3 linked regions of the Stegostoma tigrinum genome follow. The protein of the gene in region 2 binds, or shares a complex with, the protein of the main gene of each other region. Links are inferred from orthologs where the notes say so. Each region holds a gene or a part of one and is shown on either strand. Other genes may lie near its edges.

Region 1 (7,779 bases), on a different chromosome or scaffold from region 2:
TCAGCCCTCAGCTCCTTTCCTCCCTCCCCCAACAATGATAGCGTTCCCTTTGTCTTCACCTATCATCCCACCAACAGCCACATCCAGAGGATCATTAGTCACCATTTCCACCACCTCCAGCAGGATGCTACCTCCAGACACATATTCCCCTGCTCTCCCTTCTTCTGCAAGGACTAATCCCTCAAAGACTCCCTGGTCAGCTCCTCCTTCACTCCCAACACACCCCCACAGCCACACAGCACCTTTGCCTCCACTGAACCTGAAACATTAACTCTGATTTCACTCCACAGATGCTGCCAGACCTGCTGAGATTTACCAGCAATTTTTTGTTTTTGTTTCAGATTTCCAGCACCTCCAGCAGAAATTGAAACAGAATCCCTGCAGTGTGGACGCAGGCCATTTAGCCCATCAATTCCACACCAAACGTCTGAAGAGCATCTCACCCAGATCCACCCCCACTCTATGTCAATAACCCTCCATTTGCCGTGGCTAATCCACCTAACCTGCACATCCCTGGACACCATAGTCAATTTCTCATGGCCAATTCACCTAACCTACATATCTTTCAACTGTGGAAGGAAACCAGAGCATCTGGAGGAAACCCACGCAGAATCAGGGGGATTGTTACAGTCACCCAAGGTTGGAATTGAACCCGGATCCCTGACACTGGGAAGCAGCAGGGCTAACCACTGAACCACTGTGCTGCCCATTTTGGCTCTTATGGGATTTTTTTTTAGTTAAAATTCTGATTCCCTTATAAAACTCCCTGACATGCAAATACAGACAGATATAGCTGGACAAAAAGGATCATGGGTGGAGGGGAAAAACTGAGAAAACAGGTATTTGGTTCTTGTCCACAGGGTTCCATGAAATGATCCTTTTCCTTGTCAGGACTTAGTGTTCTCCATTCTCTCCCCTCCAGGCACTTTCACCTTCTTGCAGGAAGCACAGAGTGACTGATTCACAAATTGCAAAGTCTCTTACTTACTGGTTACTAGCCACAGCTTATACTAATGGGTGAGGAAAAAATAAAATGAAATTCTTTAAGGTTTGGGTGTACCTGTATTCATTTTTACTGCGCAGAGAGACAGATAAAGCCATTCTGGATGTCTAAAGCTATCTTCAAACCAATTACATAGTTGTTGGCAGGCAGATGTCCTTTATCAGTGATAATGGGAACTGCAGATGCTGGAGAATCCAAGATAATAAAATGTGAGGCTGGATGAACACAGCAGGCCCAGCAGCATCTCAGGAGCACAAAAGCTGACGTTTCGGGCCTAGACCCTTCATCAGAGAGGGGGATGGGGTGGGGGTTCTGGAATAAATAGGGAGAGAGGGGGAGGCGGACCGAAGATGGAGAGAAAAGAAGATAGGTGGAGAGGAGAGTATAGGTGGGGAGGTAGGGAGGGGATAGGTCAGTCCAGGGAAGACGGACAGGTCAAGGAGGTGGGATGAGGTTAGTAGGTAGGAGATGGAGGTGCGGCTTGGGGTGGGAGGAAGGGATGGGTGAGAGGAAGAACAGGTTAGGGAGGCAGAGACAGGTTGGACTGGTTTTGGGTTGCAGTGGGTGGAGGGGAAGAGCTGGGCTGGTTGTGTGGTGCAGTGGGGGGAGGGGACGAACTGGGCTGGTTTTGGGATGCGGTGGGGGAAGGGGAGATTTTGAAGCTGGTGAAGTCCACATTGATACCATTGGGCTGCAGGGTTCCCAAGCGGAATATGAGTTGCTGGGTATCAATGGTATCAATGTGGAAGTTCCACATTGATACCCAGCAGCTCATATTCCGCTTGGGAACCCTGCAGCCCAATGGTATCAATGTGGACTTCACCAGCTTCAAAATCTCCCCTTCCCCCACCGCATCCCAAAACCAGCCCAGTTCGTCCCCTCCCCCCACTGCACCACACAACCAGCCCAGCTCTTCCCCTCCACCCTGTGCATCCCAAAACCAGTCCAACCTGTCTCTGCCTCCCTAACCTGTTCTTCCTCTCACCCATCCCTTCTTCCCACCCCAAGCCGCACCTCCATCTCCTACCTACTAACCTCATCCCACCTCCTTGACTTGTCCGTCTTCCCTAGACTGACCTATCCCCTCCCTACCTCTCCACCTATCTTTTCTCTCCATCTTCGGTCCACCTCCCCCTCTCTCCCTATTTATTCCAGAACCCTCACCCCATTCCCCTCTCTGATGAAGGGTCTAGGCCCGAAACGTCAGCTTTTGTGCTCCTGAGATGCTGCTGGGCCAGATGTCCTTTATCATTGACAACTGGTCACCAGACCAATCAGCCACTTGTCGCGAGCTGAATCTCACCTTATACACAGTCCATAGTACCAGGTGTCTGCAATCAACTCCCTGTACTGGTTAAACAAAGCAACAATGTAACTTAAAATAAGTGTTGGTGTCTTACTTTAAAAAGTGCAGCAATCCCTTCTACAATCCTTGGTTTTTAAAACAGTCCTTTACTCATTGCAGTCCACAATCAAAAATATAGTGAAATAAAAGTAATATTGAGCAGGTTAGATTTTGATCCTAAATCGTATACAACTGAGACTTCAGAATTCAAGTAAACATGAGGTACACATGAGTTTACATAAAAATTATGATCTAATACTCCACTCATTTGTGGGCTTCCTTCCCTTGACTTCCAACTTGTTTGGGTTAACAGTGGTTCCTTTTAGCTCCAAATGTTTCCAAGATATGGAGCCAAATTCCCTGGGACTTATCCTAAGCCATAATTGCTTGTAATTTGCAAGTTTCTTATGATTTAACAATCTCCCAGTTCCGAAATGTAATTCACATCTATCAGCAAACAATGCACACATGAATTTTTAAGCTCTCTGCATCTACATTTTGGCATAACCTGACGTTTCCTGTTTACTTTTAGGTTAAATTAACTCTAACTCCCTCTAGACAAGTATTACTGCAAGCATTGCAGCCAGTTAAGAACGCCCATCCATTGTTTTTCAGCTGTATCTGTTCTATTTTGATTTTATGAAAAAAGCGGTAATCTTCAAAACTAACATTTGCCTTAAGTATTCTGACAATCACCAAGGCCCAACATTTCAAATTGCCTCAGAGATAATGGGAACTGCAGATGCTGGAGATTCCAAGATAATAAAATGTGAGGCTGGATGAACACAGCAGGCCAAGCAGCATCTCAGGAGCACAAAAGCTGACGTTTCGGGCCTAGACCCTTCATCAGATGAAGGGTCTAGGCCCGAAACGTCAGCTTTTGTGCTCCTGAGATGCTGCTTGGCCTGCTGTGTTCATCCAGACTCACATTTTATTATCTATTTCAAATTGCCAGCTGTTAACCTGTCAAAGCAACAGTATACCTATCTTTTAACTGTACTTGAGTTCAAAGTGCTTCAGTTGCATTTATCCCATTTTCCTGTTTCAAACTTTCATATCATTAGTAATTTATATGATAGCATATGAACCATTAACTATATATCTGCAACACCACAGACACCTCCCACTCCCTCTGTGCATTTATAGTCAGAAAGAATACCCACTTTTTCTGTGAGATTGTATGATCAGGTTTGGAGTATACCGTATCCTTTTCTCATCCCATACCTCCACCTGTCACAACAAATTTAAATTTAGCCAGGTTGGTAATCTGGCCAACTATAAAGGTTTCACACTGTATCAGGTATGTTTCAGTATTAAGAACAAGTCAGCCAGGTTTCTCCACTCAACAACAAATAACTGCTTTAGTACCAAAGTTAAACATGTTCAAACAAAAAAATTTCAGACTATTGACAAGCATTTTAGATGATACAAATATTCCTGTTAAAAAATACATACACATAAACACATCCAAGTCTGAGGGGCAACAAAAAGGAAACATTCTGCAGTGTTAACTTTAAAGTGCTTTTTCCAAGTAATAGTTCAGCTCATTAAGACATTATAGATCATAAATTGTCCCGAATGGTTTTCTGATTCCAAAGTTATTCTACATACACAACCTGCAGGCACTGATGTGTCTTTCTGGAATGGTTGTACTGACTGAATTGTCTTTGTTCAAATGGTGCGGGTAGATTCCAACTAATCCTTTCCACTCATCCACCAACGTGGTAAAGGTGACTTTTGGCAGGTTGACAGCTGACGCACTGAGATGAGATGAGATGCAGAGAAAGAAGACGGAGCAATAGGCTGTTGATCTTCACACAGGTCAAATTGCTTCTGACTGAGTTCAAAAACAGAATAGTCTGATTCCACTCACAACCTGGGCCACGCCACCTCTCCCTGAAATTCCAGACATGTGTAAGCTCTCTGCTCCAGTAGGTGCAACATAATTGCTGTTGTACACAGAACCTTTCCTTATCCAAGTGTTCTTTGTTCAAGATATAAGTATATATGAGTCCACAATAATACCTATAAAAGATAATATTTGGATCACATCTCTAGCATTCAATTTATATCCCAGAAACAACACCCTCTCTCTCTTTCTGTCTCTATGAGTGATTGACCCAGAGGCAGTACCCTCTGCAGTGGGTTACGGACCCATGTTCAGAGTCGTCTGCACTAGATAGTTGACCCAGATAATATGTCCTTTGCACTGGGTGACTGACCCAGAGACAGTGCCCTCTGCACTTGGTGATTGACCCAGAGACTGTGCTCTTTGAACTAGTGAAATGACCCACAGACAGGGCCCTCTGCACTGGGTGACTGATCCAGAGGTGGCGCTGTCTCTCCCCCACTCAGTGAATGGATGAGAAGATGGAGCATGCGCAGTGCTCACTACTGCTCCGTTTGGTGCCGAGGCGGCGGACGAGTATAGGTTTCATCCGTCGCTTTAACTGGTCGGATCCAGCCGGTTTGTTTTCTCCGTTCCCGTTAACCCATAATCGGCTGTCGAGATGTACGATCCGGACGACGGTGAGGGTGAGTGGTGCTGGCTTTCCATGCTTTTTTTTAAAATCCGTACGTTTTGCGGAGTTTAAAATGGCGGATGTTGAGGTGGGTTGGCGCCGGCTCTGGGAGCCTGGCCTAAGGCCTCGGCCTGACCCTCCAGCCCAGGTGCTGACTTCAGCCCTGATTTTTCTGTTGGGGCCTTTGAGGGGAGACGCAAACCGCCAGCCGTCTTCTAGTCACTGAGCTGCTATGTGACCTGATCCAGAGAGGCTTTTTTGACTCTAAGCTCCCAGGGGTTGGAGGGAAGTTGCTGACATGCACCAATTTGTGCACGAAGGTCTATAAACGTCACTTATAGGCAACATGGTCAGCCGCGGGCTTGATTCTAGTCCAACTTAAAGAGACATGTTAAAGTCCATCGTTTAGGTTGACACACTGCTGCAGCTGACGGGGAATGTTGAATTGCCAGCAGGTGCTGTCTTTCAGATGATGGTGTGCTTGCCCCCTCAAAATAAATATTGCCCCATAAAGTACCCCATTGTACCACAGAAAGAGGGGTAGGGGAGTTCTGACCTTCAACCAACTTCATTGCAGCTGTTATCATTATTGTTTGCTATGATCTGTACGTTATAACAATGATTGTTCTTTTAAAGGTCTTAGTGTGTGGTGTTTGTTATGTTTGTGTTTTTGTTCTCTGCCACTGAAGCAGTTAATTCAGCACATCTATTGTGTTCTCTTCCACCTTTCAGGCTTCCAGTAAGGATAATCATACTTTCATTGGTCCTTTGTTCTGGGTATTGTTGTGGCTCTTACACTTGATATAGTCCCTGTCTTTGTTTTCTCAATGCTAGGGAAGAAAGTTTTTAATGTTTGTGGCACCCACCTGGTTAAGTTGTTTAATGTCAGATTTGACTGGACCACATCAAGCAGTATTAAGCCAAGACACGCAAGAGCAGGCCTGAGTGTTAAATATTCCTGGGTACGATGCTTAGAAGAGAGAGGAGAGGAGGATTGATGATATTATTGGTTAAGGAGTGCAATGCATTGTTGGAGAAAGAGGAGGTCCCAGAGGATTCAGGGACAGAATCTGGTTAGAGCTGAGGAACAAAAAAGGATGCAAGTACATTGCTTGGTATAGCCCATAACATCCAACTTATGGAAAGGATAAACAAATCAGGAAAATTACAGAGAAATTGCAACACTACTGTTATAATTGGGGATTTCTGCTGCCAAAATGTAGACTGCGACAGTGGTAGTGTTAAGGATACAAAAGGGCAAAAATGTTCCTCAATTGTTATCTAGAAAGATTTTCTCTAGCAGTATATATTCAGTGCAACCAGAAAGTACATTGCTGAACATCCACAACTTCCACGCCCTTCTGCTGGCTAACATTGTAAGTAATTCCCTGTCCTTGAGTATGCTATATTAAATGTTTAGTCCTCATCCTCAGGAGAAAAAAAACAATTTCATTGCCACTGTCCTCGTAAACTACTGATCTGTCTGCATTCTCCTTTTCCACTCTAGAATGTTTGAACATGTTATCATTTCTGAAATCCATGAATTGCTATTGTTGTCTTATACTTGTGACTCACCTGACATCCATCCTTTCTTATTTCATGGATATTGTTGCTCAATGCCACCTTGATTGAAGTCATTGATTGCCATTGGTGATCACTTCATATCTGCGAGGTAAGCTCAGGGTGGATTGAACATTTCCAGTCACTTCTAGGCTGCCCAACCGTGAGTCTTGTCTCTGTCTTGCCTCAGCCGACTTCTGTGTCGTGATGTGTCTAGCACTGATATTTCGGCCACAAGTTCAGTGATAGTTCAGGCATCCCTTCATTTATAATGATGGAAGGATGAGTCTCCAAGTAAAAAATCTCCAATACATTTATGTCCTTTCTTTTAAAGAAACTGAGACCAAGACTGCTCCAGAGGTAGTCTCACTCATGCCCTAAATAAGTGAAGCATTACCTTCTACTTTTATACTAAATTCTCCTTGCAATGAACAAGAAAGATTTTAGCTTTTCTAATTATTTGCTATACCTGGACACTTCTTGAGATTTATGTACAAAGGCATCCAGATTCCTCTTAATTTCTGAGCTCTGCTACTTCTCACCATCTAGATAACGTTTTTCCTTTATTCCTCCTTTCCTCATGTTGCATTCATTCAGCCTCAGTTGTAATGATGCCATTTAGTGCCGCAGCCTCATGGATTGCAATTTAAAAGTGTGTTCCCATTTAACAAAATGATCACTTAATCGCATCATCTGTATCAGGGGTTTTAAACAAAAAGGTCTATCAACCCAAATTCATTAGTAGACATAATTTATGGGTTTTTTATCAAAACAGAATTCAGCAAAAGTGTAATCATTGATTAATGTGCACAGTGGACTAGAAATAAGTGTTTATTCCCATAAACATTCCCCAAGACTCACGTGCAAGCTCACTTCCACGTTTTCTTCAGGAAAACGTAAAACAAAGATTCCACTGCAATGAATTGTTTTTTGAATAAAGCTTTGAAAAGGGGCTATTCTGAAAGACAAAAGGACAAAACATAAAGTTGTTTCAGAGTTTGTTGCTCTGATGTCTTGACGTGTACGGTCATCATTAATTATGCATTGTTGTTTCTGCCCACAAGCAGAGTTTGCTCAAGAAATAGTCTTGTCATGTTCTTTCAGTCACTTTCAAAAAAGCAAATGGTTTTCACTCTTAATACGGTGAGTTTTCTTTTCAGAAGTGGAAAAGAACACCTGGGCAGCTTCTTAGCAGGATTCCCTCCAATTCGAATGTTTCTTAGGAGGCTTTCTTCCATCTGAACCAGATCAGACAAGAACCACTTCAAGTCAGTTACTGTTCAACCCTAGTGTGGTCAACAGCAGTTCTTCCTGAACACTTTCCCACTGTGACCCCCATCTTGATACTC
Region 2 (6,934 bases):
GATTTAGACGCCAGTCCTCTGTGGGGTTCCAACCCTGAACTTTCATTGAGCAGGAGAGCATTAGTCATTGGGGACTCCATAGTTAGGGGGGCAGATAGGAGATTCTGTGCGAACGAGAGAGACTCACTGTCGGTGTGTTTTGCCTCTCAGGTGCCAGGGTCTGTGATGTCTCAGATCATGTTTTCGGGAACCTTAAGGGGGAGGGGAAGCAGCCCCAAGTCATGGTCCACATAGGCACCAACGACATATGAAGGAAAAGGGACGGGGATGTAAGGCAGAAATTCAAGGAGCTAGGTTGGAAGCTTAGAGCTAGAACAATCAGAGTTGTTATCTCTGGGGCTCATTCTGGGGTAGGTGGGACTTCTGCAAACGGGATGGTCTACACCTGAACCAGAGGGGCACCAATATCCTGGGGGGGAATTTGCTAATGTTCTTCGGGAGGGTTTAAACTAATTCAGCAGGAGGATGGGAACCTGAACTGTAGCTCCTGTGTCCAGGAGGTTGAGAGTAGTGAGATCACGAATAAGGTTTTACGGTCACAGAAGGGTACCGGCAGGAAGAAAGGTGGTTTGAAGTGTGTCTACTTCAATGCCAGGAGCATCCGCAATAAGATGGGTGAACATGCAGCATGGGTTGGTACCTGGGACTCGATGTTGTGGCCATTTCGGAGACATGGATAGAGCAGGGACAGGAATGGTTGTTGCAGCTTCTGGGATTTAGATGTTTCATTAAGATCAGGGAAGGCGGTAAAAGAGCGGGGAGGTGTGGCATTGTATTACAGTTGCAGAAAGGACGTTCAATGAGGACTCATCTACTGAGGTAGTATGGGCTGAGGTTAGAAACAGGAAAGGAGAGGTCACCCTGTTGGGAGTTTTCTATAGGCCTCCGAAAAGTTCCAGAGATGTAGAGGAAAGGATTGCAAAGATGATTCTGGATAGGAGCAAAAGTAACAAGGTAGTTGTTATGGGGGACTTTAACTTTCCAAATATTGACTGGAAACGCTATAGTTAGAGTACTTTAGACGGGTCAGTTTTTGTCCAATGTATGCAGGAGGGTTTCCTGACACAGTACGTAGATAGGCCAACGAGAGGCGAGGCAACATCGGATTTGGTATTGGGTAATGAACCAGGCCAGGTGTTAGATTTGGAGGTAGGTGAGCACTTTGGTGATAGTGACCACAATTCAGTTACGTTTACTTTAGCGATGGAAAGGGATAGGTATATTCTACAGGGGAAGAGTTATAGCTGGGGGAAAGACAATTATGAGGCGATTAGGCAAGATTTAGGATGCATAGGATGGGGAAGGAAACTGCAGGGGCGGGGCACAATTGAAGTGTGGAGCTTGTTCAAGGAACAGCTACTGCGTGTTCATGATAAGTATGTACCTGTCAGTCAGGGAGTAAGTGGCCGAGTGAGGGAACCGTGGTTTACTAAAGAAGTTGAATCTCTTGTCAAGAGGAAGAAGGAGGCTGATGTAAAGATGAGGCGTGAAGACTCAGTTAAAGCACTTGAGAGTTACAAGTTAGCCAGGAAGGACCTAAAGAGAGCTAAGCAGAGCCAGGAGGGGACATGAGAAATCTTTGGCAGGTAGGATCAAGGAAACCCCTTTAGCCTAGGGCAGTGATAAACTTGGTTTCAGTTTGCACAGCTGAGGAGCTATCAACAGAGGGGCTACATCCCGACAGTGAAAGACTTTTGGTTCCCTCCCCCCGTCTTGTTGAGGCCAAAAACGAGACGCAAACGGGCACACAAAAAGTGAGCAGCACACTAACTTCACACAGACACACACATATCCCTGTAATGACACACACATGTGAAATCCTCAATCAAATCAACACCAAACAACAAAACAAGAGAAAAACAATCAGTCCCGGGGATTACCGTGAGGCCTTAGCGGAAGTTCGCCGAGTGCAGATTGGCTGTCGTGTTCCCTACGCTGAAATAACCGTGAGCACTCTGGGATACCTGAGATATCCTGTGAAAGGCACCATTGCAAACACATGACTTTATTTTCATGCATTTATACAGCATGGAACCAGGCCCTTTGGTCCAACCAGTCCATGTCGACCATAACCCCAAACTAAACTAGTCTGACCTGCCTGCTCGTGGCACATATCCTTCTAACCATTCCTATTCAGGTACTTATCCAAATGCCTTTTTAATCATTGTAACTGTACACGCATCCACCCAATCACCTCTGCAAGTTCATTCACACACAAACCACACTGTTAAAAAAAAGTACTCACACCTTTTTAAAATCTTTTCTCCCCTTACCTTAAAAATATGTTCCAGAGTCTTGAAACCCCACACCCTAGATAAAAGTCACCCGCATTCACCTCATCTATGCCCCTTCTGATTTTATAAACTTCTATAAAAATCCCCTCACAACCTCCTATGCTCCAGTGAGTAATAAAAGTCCCAACCCTCTCCTTATAACCCTCCCTTGCCAGCAACATCCTGGTAAATCTTTTCTCTCCAGCTTAACTTTAGAAAGGCATACGCCGTGTTAGGTTTTATTGGTAGAGGGATTGAGTTTTGGAGCCACGAGGTCATGTTGCAGCTGTACAAAACTCTGGTGCGCCCGCACTTGGGAGTATTGCGTACAGTTCTGGTCGCCACATTATAGGAAGGATACAGAAGCATTGGAAAGGTGAATGGTGAACCCCCTCCAGCTTAACAATATCCTCCCCGTAACAGGGTGAATGGGACTCACCAATGGCCTGTACAACCTCAACAAGACGCCCCAACTCCCACACTTGAAGGCCTGAGCAATGAAGCTAAGTGTGCTAAATGCCTTCAACTCCAGCCTGTCTACACGTGTTGCAAACTTTAAAGTAGTACGTACCTGAACCCCTAGGTCTCACTGTTCTAAACACTACGTTTCGTTCTTTTAAGGTCTTAAAGAACCCTGTTTGTCCACCATCAAGTCCCATGAGTGGTAACAGTCTGTTAGTCAGCAGCACATAAAAGGAAAATCTGCAAAAGGTTCCTCCCACCTTTGTTTTTCTTGAATAGGGACAATCTCTTTCTCTCCCTCCCTCACGTTGTCACTCATAGGGAAGCTGGAAGTGAGCCCGCGCATGCGCAGGTCCCATGTCGGCGCCTGCCGACGACGTCACCAAGACGCCCGATAGACCACTTTCACGACGACGTCACCAAACGTCACGGGACTTCCGGCTCCTCCCCAGCCCCGACTCCAGCTCGTGTCCCGGGTGAAGCTGCGATCTGCCGCACAGCCAAAACAGAAACACCAACGCGGATGCTGGGAATTAGAAAAGAATGCAAGTATTACTCGAAAACAAAAACCCAGCACCTCTGACTACTAAGATAATAAAATGTGAGGCTGGATGAACACAGCAGGCCAAGCAGCCTCTCTGATGAAGGGTCTAGGCCCGAAACGTCAGCTTTTGTGCTCCTGAGATGCTGCTTGGCCTGCTGTGTTCATCCAGCCTCACATTTTATTATCTTGGAATTCTCCAGCATCTGCAGTTCCCATTACCTCTGACTACTATCTGTGGAGAGAAAGCAGAATTGACGTTTCAAGCCCAATTACCTTCATTTCACTCCGCTCTCTCTCCAACAGATAATGTCAGAGAGAAAGCAGAGTTTATTGAGGGTAACTGGACTTGAAACGCCAATTCTGCTTTCTCTCCACAGATGCTGCAGTCCTGATGATTTTATTTTGCCAGCAATTCCTGTTTCTGCACCAACGCGTAACCTCACAAATTCAAGTGACTGCTTTTACGTATTTATAGCTTATTCTGAAATGAAGGCAATGGAACTTGGCGATTTTAAATAGTGCCCTGCGTCCCCTCGAGCATCCAAATTTGTTTTGTTTTTCTATCTTGGAGTAGAGAATGCAAGACAAACCCACAAACTCTCACGTATGGCATTGCAATAACAGTTAGATTATCTAATGTGGGAATGTCAATTGGGTGACAAATATTCACCAAGTCAGTCTGAAGATTCACTGGTCTCAAAACGTTAGCTCTGCTTTCCTCCCACAGTTGCTCCTGACCTGCTGACTTTGCCAGCAATTTCTGTTTTTATTTGACACCACATTTAATTCTTTTAGAACAGGAATGTCATACGTTGAGAATGTGGGGCACAGTTAGCTCAGTGGGCTGGATGGCTGGTTTGCAATGCAATGTAACAAGATTACTCTGGTAGGTTCCATTCTGCACCAACTGATGTTATCACAAGGGACTGTTATTCTCAACATCTCCCGTCACCTGAGGCATATTGACCTTCAGGTTAAAAAGAAAGTTAAATTTCTGTCATGAGAAAACGGGACCATGGTGACTTTTACATTGTGACTAAATAGAAAACAAAACCAAAACTATTCTTTGATCTTGCAAAAGACCTTTTAAATCCTGGGAAATTGCATAAATAAACAGACAAGTGGGAAAGAAGTTTGGAACTTGTAATGTTGGTCGTTGCAAAATATATATTTTAAACTCATCTGAAATCGGCATAAGTTTGTAAAATCTCAGAAGAAAAACATTTCACAGAGGAATAAAGTTAGACCTGGTGTTCTTTCTAGGCAATTAGTGTACACAGTCTTGTCATTCTTCAAACTACACAATCAAAATGTCATTGAAAGATTAGAAATTGACAAAAATGCTTAAACTGTCATAGTCTCTGCTTTGCATTAGTTAATTGCATAATTAAACACTAATACTCAATTCTGCTCTGCCAGTCAACGTGTTCAAAGTTGATCATCCAACATAGTATCCTGTTCTCACTTTCTCCCCATACTCTTTAATCCGTTTAGCCCTAAGACTATATATAACCTCTTCTTGAGATGTCTTGGCTTCAAATGCTTTCTATGGCAAAGAATTCTATACGTTCACCACGCCCTGAGTAAAGAAATGTCTCCTCATCTTTGTCCTAAATAACCTAACCAGTACACTTAGACTGTGACCCCTGGTCCTGCACTCCCAAGTGACTGAGAACATCCTTCCTTTGTTTACCATGTCTAGTCCTTTTGAATTTTATAGCTTTCTATACGATGACCCCGTTCTTAAAAACTCTAGTGAATATAGGTCTAATCAATTTAATTTCTGTTCATCTATCAGACCTGCCATCCCAGCAACCAGCTTCGTCTTTTCATTTCCATTTCCTGCCCCTGTATTTCCATAACCACGTCATTTTCTCATCTTTTTTTTACTTTGGAATTCCAACTCCAGATTTCTCATTCTCTCCTCATGCTTGATCTTCTTCAATTTTAACGGAATATCATTTGGTTCTCAGTCTCTTATATTTCCTCTAAACCCAAATGTTGTGCTGGTACCTCAGTTATTTTGCCTTCTCAGCTTTGACATGCAATAATACCACCAGCACTTGTGTCAGGTCACTCTAACTGGGTTTTGAAATTTCCCTCAAGAACAACCCTTCTACCTGCAGGAAATCCTTTCGCGTTTTCAGTGTCATGTGTTAAATGCACAACAGAAACTGATTTTTTTTTCTTCACTTGCATTATCTCCTGCTCCCACATACAAATCCTGTATCAAATTTTATTTGGGTTGAGCTCCCAAATATTGTCACAATTCACTGGAGTAGAGCACTAGAAATGAAGCTGCACTATTCCTGGAGTTGTCACAAATGTTACAGCTATTAAGATAAATACACAAATTTCCCCAATAAGCCTGACTTTCAGACATAGGTTGATAGAAAGCAGAGCTGACTCAATGGGTTGAAGGCATAATTCCTATCTTGTTGTGGTATGGAAGTTTGCAGTTAACAAGAATTTCTATTTATTACAAATAGTTAGACTCTATTTATAGCTAAACTGCTATAAATCACTGTCATATAAAACTATAAATTAAAACTCTAATGCCCTGAGACAGACAAAAGACACACATTCCTGCTCCCTTCCCCATACTTGGATTGCTGAAATGACCCTTGAGCTGAACCCAATATTTCTGTTCAGTCATCTTTCTCCAATGCTTCCACTGGTATGCACCAAACACAAAGTGACTCATTAGCTTATAAACTGTCTCTGACATATCAACTAAAAGGCACAGCTTATAACAACTGCTGAAGGAAAGATGAACCGGTTGACTTTAAGTTTAACAAAACATGAAGAACTGTAAAATTGCTGGAGGAACTGAACTGGCAGCATCTGTGGACAAGAAACAGAGTCAATGTTTCAGGTAGAATGAGCCTTCTACAGATCTGTTTGTAGCTAGGAAAAGATGGCATATATCTGACGACAGGGCATGGCCGGGGGTGGTGTTGTGGTGCAGAAGGAGTAATGGAGATGGAGCCCAGAGAGAGAAAAAAAAAATCAGCAGTTGAGCAGACAAAGGAATGAATAAAGGTAAGCCAGGGAGGAAGAAAAACAGATAATGGGGACCATTAGTGGATGAAAATGGGTTGGCTCTGATAAAAACAGCCCATGTGATGACAGAGCCTGGGCTGTGGGGGTGGATAAAGGATATGGAAATAAGTGCTCAGGCATTAAAATGATTGAACTCAATACTGAGTCCTGAAGGCTGCAGAGGAAGATGAGATGTTGTTTTTCTTGCATGTGCTGAGCCTCACTGGAATACTGCAGCAAACCCAACACAGCGGTGCTCCAAAGGACAGCCTGCAGACCCTCAGCTTTTATTGTCCAACAGAACCATCTAGTCCTCAACCCCACCCCCCCACAATACCTTCCTCTGCCTCAGCCATCTAGTCATCACGTTCGATAACTTTTTCTTCAATTCTTCCCACTTTCTTTAAATCCAGGAAGTGGCCATGGGCAGTCGCATGGACCCCAGCTATTCCTGCCTCTTTGTGGGTTGCATGGTCCCTCTTCAGTACACACATCGATACTGTTCCTCAACTCTTCCGCCATCGCATCGATGCTGCACCCTGCATCTAGGCTGAACTGGAGCAAGTCACTGACTTCACTAACAACTTCCACCCCACCCTCAAGTTCACTTGGT
Region 3 (7,419 bases), on a different chromosome or scaffold from region 2:
GGTAAGTTTAGGGGAGCAGAGTAGGGAAAATTTTTCACACAGAGGGTGGTGGTTGCCTGGAACACACTGGCGGTGGAGGTGGTGGAAGCACTGTTTAAGATTAGCATTGTTTAAGGCATATCTTGATAGACACATGAACGGGAAGTGAACAGAGGTATAGAAAAGACTTATGGCCAATAAGAAGTGGGTCCAAATAAGGATTAGGAACTGATGCAGAGATAGTAAGAACTGCAGATGCTGGAGTCAGAAATAACAGAGTTTGGAGCTGGAGGAACACAGCAGGCCAGGCAGTTTCAGGTCAGGACCCTGCTTCAGAAATGGGGAGGGAGAAGGGAATTCAGAAATAAATAGAGAGGAGGCGTGGGGCGGGGGAAGAGGCCAGGGGTAGGCAAAATTTTGAAACTGGTAAATGGCCTAAATGTGGGTTTTACCAGTTTCAAAATTTCCCCATCCACCAAACTCGTTGCATGTCCACCCCTCCCTTCCTCCCCGCCTCCTTGACCTGACCAACCTGTCCATCTTCTCTCCCACCTGTCCGCCCCTCCCGCCTCACTGACCAATCCCCACCACTCCCTACCGGCACTCACCTATCACCATCCTACCTACCTTCCCAGCCCCACACCTCCTCTCTATTTATTTCTGAGCTTGCTTTTCCCTCCCCATTTCTGAAGAAGGATCCTGACCCAAAATGTCAACTTTTCTACTCCTCTGGTTATGCCTGGCTTGCTGTATTCCTCCAGCTCCACACTGTGTTATCTAGGAATTGATGGAGGCTCGGTGGACCGAAGGGCCTGGTCCTGTGCTATAATGTGTTGTGCTGTAGGCTGGTCCAGAAGATCAAATCACATGGAATCCATTGAGTTACCAAACTGGATACAAAATTAGCTTGGCCATAGAATACAAAGGGCAGTAATGGAGGAGTGTTTTTCTGACTGGAGGTCTGCAACCAGTAACGTTCCTCAAGAATCAGTCTGAGACCTCTGTTGTTTGTGATATAAATAAACAATGTGAATGAAAATGTCAGTGGTCTGATTATAGATTTGCAGATGACATGAAACTATTTGAGTTATGGATAGTGAGGAAGGATATCAAAGGATGCAGCAGAATATAGATCAGCTGGAAAGTTGAGCTAAGAAATGGCAGATGGAGTATAATCCCGAGGAGTACGATGTGATATATTTTCAGAGGTCAAATGAATGATAAAAGTATACAGTAAATGGTTGGACCCTTAGGTGCTTTGATATGCAGAGGGTTGTTGTGGTACAACTCCATAGTTCCTTGTCAGTGGCAACACAAGTGGATAAGGTGGTAAATAAAGCATATGGCATGTTGCCTTCATTGTTCAGGGTATTAATTATAAAAGTTGGCAAGTCATGTTGTACTTTATAAGACTTTGGTCAGGCCACATTTGGAGTACTGTGCACAGTTCTGGTTACCACAATACAGGAAGGACATGGACGCTTTGGAGAGTGTACAGAAGAGGTTTACCAGGATTGGAGTTTATGAGCTAGAAGGAGGCTGCCCAAACTTGGATTGTTTCCGCTAGAACCTCAGAGGCAACCTGATAGAAATATATAAAATTATGAGCAGTGTGGATAGAGAGAATTATTGGAATCTCTTTTCCAGCATGGAAATGTCAAATACAAGAGGACATAAGTTGAAAGTGAGAGGGATAAAGTTTAAGGGAAGTATTAAGGAAATTGCGCCTTGTAGATGGTGCTCAGGCTTTGGGGAATCAGGAGGTGAATCCTGCAATATTCCTAGTCACTGCCTGTTGTTTTAGCCACTGCACTTATATTTTAATTAATCTGATTTGACGTTAGAATTGGAATTAGGTTTACTGTAACATGTACTCAAGTTGAGGGATGTATGAATATGCATGAACAGGGATATGGAAAAGACCTACGGCCAATAAGAAATGGGTCCAAATAAGGGTTAGAAATTGATGCAGAGATAGTAAGAACTGCAAAAGTGAAAAGTATACAAATTTGCCATTTCCAGTCCATCTTAGGTACAAAAATACCTAGGTATAAAATGTTAGGTATAAACTAGAAAAATAAAGAAACAAAGTTCAGCAATACAGTTTTTCTAAAGGAGGGAGTCCATGCTGGGCATCAGCTCAAGGCCGGGAGTCCAATGCTGGGCTTCCGCGAGGCCAAGAGTCTCCTGAGTCCATGCTGGCTCAATTCTCCACCACCGATGCCATCTGAAAAATGGAGGTAAATACAGACAAAAGGAAAAAGATGAAAAGCCACGGACTTAGGAGCCATCTTGAAGGCACTGGTAATAGGTGTGAAAGAGAAGTAAAGTTGTAAATTGAGGTGTTCAGATCTACAGCAAGCTAAAACACATTAATGGGAGGTGATGGCTGAGTGGTATTATTGCTAAATAATCAATCTGGGTAACTAGGTCATGTTCTAGGGACTTGGGCTTAAAACCTGCCGTAGGCAGGTGGTGGAGGTGATAATGGGAACTGCAGATGCTGGAGAATCCAAGATAATAAAATGTGAGGCTGGATGAACACAGCAGGCCCAGCAGCATCTCAGGAGCACAAAAGCTGACGTTTCGGGCCTAGACCCTTTCTGATGAAGGTTCTAGGCCCGAAACGTCAGCTTTTGTGCTCCTGAAATGCTGCTGAGCCTGCTGTGTTCATCCAGCCTCACATTTTATTATCGTGGTAGGTGGTGGAACTTGAATTCAATGAAAATCCAGAACTAAAAATCTAATGATCTTGATTGTCACAAAAAAATACTCATCTGGTTCACTCATGTCCCTTAGGGGAGGAAATCTCCCATCCTTTCTTGGCCTGGCCTGCTGACTCCAGATCTAAAGCAATGTGGGTAAGTATGGGCACTGAAAGCTGGCCTAGCCAGCTATGTCTACATACTATGAATAAATTTTAGAAAAAACTCAGTGAGGAGAGGGGTGGAACATGATTTTTTTTGACCTCTTATCATGATCTTATTTGTTGGTGGAGCAGACTTTACGGACTGAATCTGCTCCTCTGGCAAAGGCAATGACCCATCAGTTTTACCATTTTAATTAAAAGCTTGAATTCAAAGACTAATGATGACCAGTGAAACCACTGTCAAAAAAACTATTTAGTTCACTAATGCCCTTTTAGTGAAGGAAATCTGCCATCCTTACCTGGTTTGGCCTATATGTGACTCCAGGCCCACAGCAATGTGGTTGATTCTTGACTGTTCTCTGGGGCAGAGCAGCTGGGGCTCAACAATGAATGCTGACCCACCTAGAGACGCATTCATCCCGTGTATGAAGTTTAATAAAAAGTTAATGTTTTCCTGGGGAAGGGAGTGCACAATTCAAGGTGCAAGCATGGTTTCTATAGTCTGTCTTGGTGAAAGAAATGTTCAAGAGATTTATTGATCGATTTGATTTATTGTCACATGTATTTTGTTACAAAACACAATGAAAAGAGTTGCGTAGCGTCACCACTCTCCGGCACCATCTTAAAACGCAGAAAGATGAATCATAACGTGGAATATAAAGGTGGAAAAATGAAGAAATGAAGTTCAACTTTGTAGTCCGTCTTGTTGAGTGCTTAGCCATGGGCATGTACCCTCGCCGTGCTGCCAGAACATGAATCGCCACTCTTCGATGTCATCTTGCCTCCACCAACACTGCTGCCACAATTAATCCTCACCATGTCCCATACCAGGCCAAACTCAACTCCACCACTGCCAAGAGCCTGCTCTGGGCCCAGGTCTGCCTCCACCACTGCCTCCACGAGTCTGTGCTGGACACAGATGCCATGGGCAACACAAATTTCACCTCCACCCATGGTTTAGGTGGCATGGTGGCTCAGTGGTGAGCACTGCTGCCTCACAGCTCCAGGGACAGGGGTTAAATCCCAGCACTGGGGGCCCTGTGGGGTTTGCATGTTCTCCCCATGTCTGCGTGGGTTTCCTTCAGGTGCTCTGTGCCTCGCACAATCCAAAGATGGGTAGATTAGGTGGGCTGACTTTTCCAAATTTGCCCACGGTGTCTGGGCGGGCCAGCCATGGGAAATGCAGCGACAGAGCGGGCTGAATCTGGTGGGTGGGGGAGATGGGATGCTCTTCGATGGGCCCAAAGGCCTACTTTCCGCAACCGGGGGTGGGGGGGGAAGGGGGGGTGAATTCGATGGTGGTTTGTTGTTGTGGAAATCCAGGGTTAAACATGGCAGCGGCAGGAGAGCGGGAACGGAAATACTACAACTCCCGGCATGCCCGGCGGAGGTAGCAGGACCCGGATGTGTCCGTGGGTACTCTCGCGAGATGAGGGCGGTGGGGTTTGGTTTGTTGGTTGGGTGCGGGGGCGGGGGAGCGAAGACAAGCGCTGACGCAGCGCCTCATTTGCCGGACCCTCCCTATAGCGGCAATTGAAGCTCCATTCGGCAGTATATAAGCGCTCGCTGGAAGAGGACGGACGGCTTTCCCAAGCCCGCTTCAGGCAGCACCGCCAAAAATCAATTTTAATCGCTTTTATTTTTGTTTTAAAAAAAAATCTTTTTCTTGACCAAAAAACAAACCACCTCATCTGGATATTTCATTTAAATTCTCCTCCGTATCCACATGGCGAGTTCGGCCAACTCAAACCCGGTGGTAAGATTTTTTTGTGTGTTGAGTGTGGTTGTTTTTTTAAATCCTCCGAAATAAAAGAGACTTTAAGATGGGAACCATTTTATATATTTTTAAAAAAATTATATCTATGCTCTTCATTAAAATCTGCTTTTTCCACTCCCGAGGATGAAAACAATTTTTTCTCTCTACTTTTTTATTTTAAGAAAAACCAAACGTGAAAAGTAATGTTTTGCTTTTGTTTTCTGTCTGGGGAAATTTTGAAGCAAAATTCAGCAAAGCGGAAAACTTGTTGGCATTTGAAAAGGGGGGGAAGGAACAAAAACTTCCCTTTTTTTAAAAGGAAAACAAGATTTGACTCCCTTTCTCAACATTTTTAAAAATAATTAGCGGAGCAAAGCAAGCCATATCTTGGACAAACTGACTGGATTTTTGTCAGGAGCTGTGGCTGGAGTTTTAGTTTTTACAAGCAGATTTTTTGAGGGGGGGTGGTGAGGGAGAAAACACTTCCCTCCTTTCTCTCCTGTAAAAATTTCTTTTGTCTGGACTAGTAACTACATTTTTAAGCTGAGGTGCTTTCTAAAGTGGCTTGGGAAAGAAATGGAGTGGGGGAGAAAGTGGTGGGTGAATGGTTCAATTTTTGGGTTGCACATCAAAATGAATGGTAATTTTTTTTAAATAAAAAGTTGAATTCATGAGGTGGTTTCACCTGGAAAAATCACAATTCAAGAACTGCTTTTGCTAATTGTGTGTCAAGTTTGAAACTAAGAAAAGTGCTAAGGTTTTCTTTTGGTAAGCTGTCAGGATATTACAGGCTCATGTCTGATTTAAGTTTTAGCTTTTAAAAACTTGTACTTTTGAAGGTAAATATATAACCTTTATTTTACAAAAGGAATAAAACTGAAACACCAACACACCCCTGCTGATCCCTCTAGAGAAACAGATGGAGCCTGCACTATTTGCTGATGAACCATTTTGTTTTCTGGCTGACTTTTTACAAATTTTTGTGTTGTTGGTCTGAAGGAGGCACGAGATGCTTTCCTTTCCCTGTTTCAGGGCCCCTAAGACTTTGGTTTTAGTCCTGTCCCCCTTCCTTTTGTGGCCAATCTGGTGAATCGGTCTCTCTGCTCCATAAGCTAATGTTTTGTGGAGGGTGGCCTGTTGTTTGTGCCTTCCTTCCCCTTGCTTCTGTCTTTCCTCCCCCTCCTAGATGGTCTCCTCTATTATAATCTCGGTTGCACGGTGGGGATGTGCTTGCCAGCTCTACGTCATGAGGAGGGGGGGGGGGTCCCCTTTGCATATGAGGTCAGACTGCAAGGGCTGTGCAAGAAAGCAGGGAGAGAGGGAGGCTTAACAGCAGCTGTGAGGCCCAAGGGTAAACTGCCTGCTTAAGTATGTTCCCTTGATCGGTTTTAGGCTGTGACTTATCTACCTTCTTTCTGACAAACCTTCTGCCCTCCACCCTTATCCCTGGTCCCCTCACTGTTTTTCTGTTCTGTCAGAGGCTGTGAGCTTTCCTTCAACGGTGAGCTCCTGCAGGCTTGGCTATGCTGTAGTGTTCTTTCTGAGAATGTGAATTCAGACTGCAAGCAGCATCTTTTATAGATCAGGGTGTTTTTCTTTGCATTTGTAATTCAACCAAGATGTGTGTAACTATTTTATTAAAACCACAATACTTCTGATACTGAAAATCTGAAGCAAATGCATTTGCCAATTCAGTTTTTTACTCCAGTGCAATGTTGACAACTCATTATCAGGAATGACCCTTTTTCTAAAAGTAGATGAATATTTGTAACAGTGGTTGCTGTGGTTGAATTTACATAGTCCATGATGGCAGGTAAGGGCAACCCAGTGGAATGAATTGGATAGCTCTTCCTCAAAGCACTAGTAAAGGAAAAATGGACCAAATGGCATTTCTCACTTGATTTCAGCATTACTGGTACGTGATGAAGTTCCATTTTAGAGAATATTTAGAACTCTGTCTTGGTGGGAATCATCATCTTATTTATACATTTGTGTAGCATTAAGCAAAAAGTTCTTAGCTTGTATTCATCTAAATGGTTAGACTTGTATGGTTATTTCAAAATGTCATCTTTAAATTTCTTTAAATTCTTGGCATTTTCAGAAGTCTTGCAATTTAAACAGTTCTTAATATTTGAGCAGGGAAATGTTAACTTCCCAATACAAGTGTCGGAGCTGTGAGGAAGAATAGAAGTAGATCAGTGTCTTGGCCTATTTCTACTGTTTAATTAGGCCAAGCTGAGTGGAGGCAATCTTTACTCTTTTAAAATTTTGCCCAGCAAGGATGTCAATTGACCCAGCATTCCTGACACTTTGAAGATTAGATTTCCAGTATCCTTTGTGGAAAATTTGCTTTCTGATGTTTGTTCTGACTGACATAGCTCTCATTTAAGATTATGGACTTTTCCCAGCAAACAAAATGGCTTCTCTCTACACAATTGCCTCAGTTATTTGAAATGTCTTGATTTAGCAGTTCACAACCATCTAAACATGAGACTACAAGCCAATGTTGTGAAACTTGTCATGATGTCTCTGGGTGTAGTAGGTCAATTTGTACACTTCAGAAGCAAGTTTTGAGGTCTATAATTGCATATGCTACTCCAGATAAGAACTAATCAAACTCTGTCAAACAGAAGCACTGCTTCCTCACTTTTGAATTCCACTTGCTGTTGGATAAAGGGCAACATGTGCTAACTAAGTTAGTAAGAACTGCAGATGCTGGAGGATCACAGGCCAGGCAGCATTGTAGGATCAGGAAAGCTGATATTTCTGGTTGGGACTCTTCTTCAGAAATGGGGAGTTGGAGGGGAGCTCAGAA

Evidence for each region.
Region 1: gtf2h4 (region 2) and polr2b share a complex: the UniProt entries of both Homo sapiens proteins name them as parts of the TBP-based Pol II pre-initiation complex. The link is inferred for Stegostoma tigrinum from reciprocal best matches to the Homo sapiens genes GTF2H4 and POLR2B.
Region 3: gtf2h4 (region 2) and gtf2a1 share a complex: the UniProt entries of both Homo sapiens proteins name them as parts of the TBP-based Pol II pre-initiation complex. The link is inferred for Stegostoma tigrinum from reciprocal best matches to the Homo sapiens genes GTF2H4 and GTF2A1.

Annotation. Positions count from the first base shown.
Region 1 is NC_081354.1:16,642,773-16,650,551, reverse strand, and holds the start of polr2b (DNA-directed RNA polymerase II subunit RPB2), read left to right. Parts: upstream 1-4,723; 5' UTR 4,724-4,858; coding exon 4,859-4,883; intron 4,884-7,779. UniProt on the Homo sapiens protein: Catalytic core component of RNA polymerase II (Pol II), a DNA-dependent RNA polymerase which synthesizes mRNA precursors and many functional non-coding RNAs using the four ribonucleoside triphosphates as substrates.
Region 2 is NC_081387.1:14,072,077-14,079,010, reverse strand, and holds the start of gtf2h4 (general transcription factor IIH subunit 4), read right to left. Parts: upstream 3,096-6,934; 5' UTR 2,996-3,095; intron 2,990-2,995; exon of another isoform or gene 2,845-2,989; intron 1,975-2,844; exon of another isoform or gene 1,881-1,974; intron 1-1,880. UniProt on the Homo sapiens protein: Component of the general transcription and DNA repair factor IIH (TFIIH) core complex, which is involved in general and transcription-coupled nucleotide excision repair (NER) of damaged DNA and, when complexed to CAK, in RNA transcription by RNA polymerase II.
Region 3 is NC_081363.1:9,877,731-9,885,149, forward strand, and holds the start of gtf2a1 (transcription initiation factor IIA subunit 1), read left to right. Parts: upstream 1-4,390; 5' UTR 4,391-4,574; coding exon 4,575-4,604; intron 4,605-5,224; exon of another isoform or gene 5,225-5,241; coding exon of another isoform or gene 5,242-5,244; intron 5,245-7,419. UniProt on the Homo sapiens protein: TFIIA is a component of the transcription machinery of RNA polymerase II and plays an important role in transcriptional activation. TFIIA in a complex with TBP mediates transcriptional activity.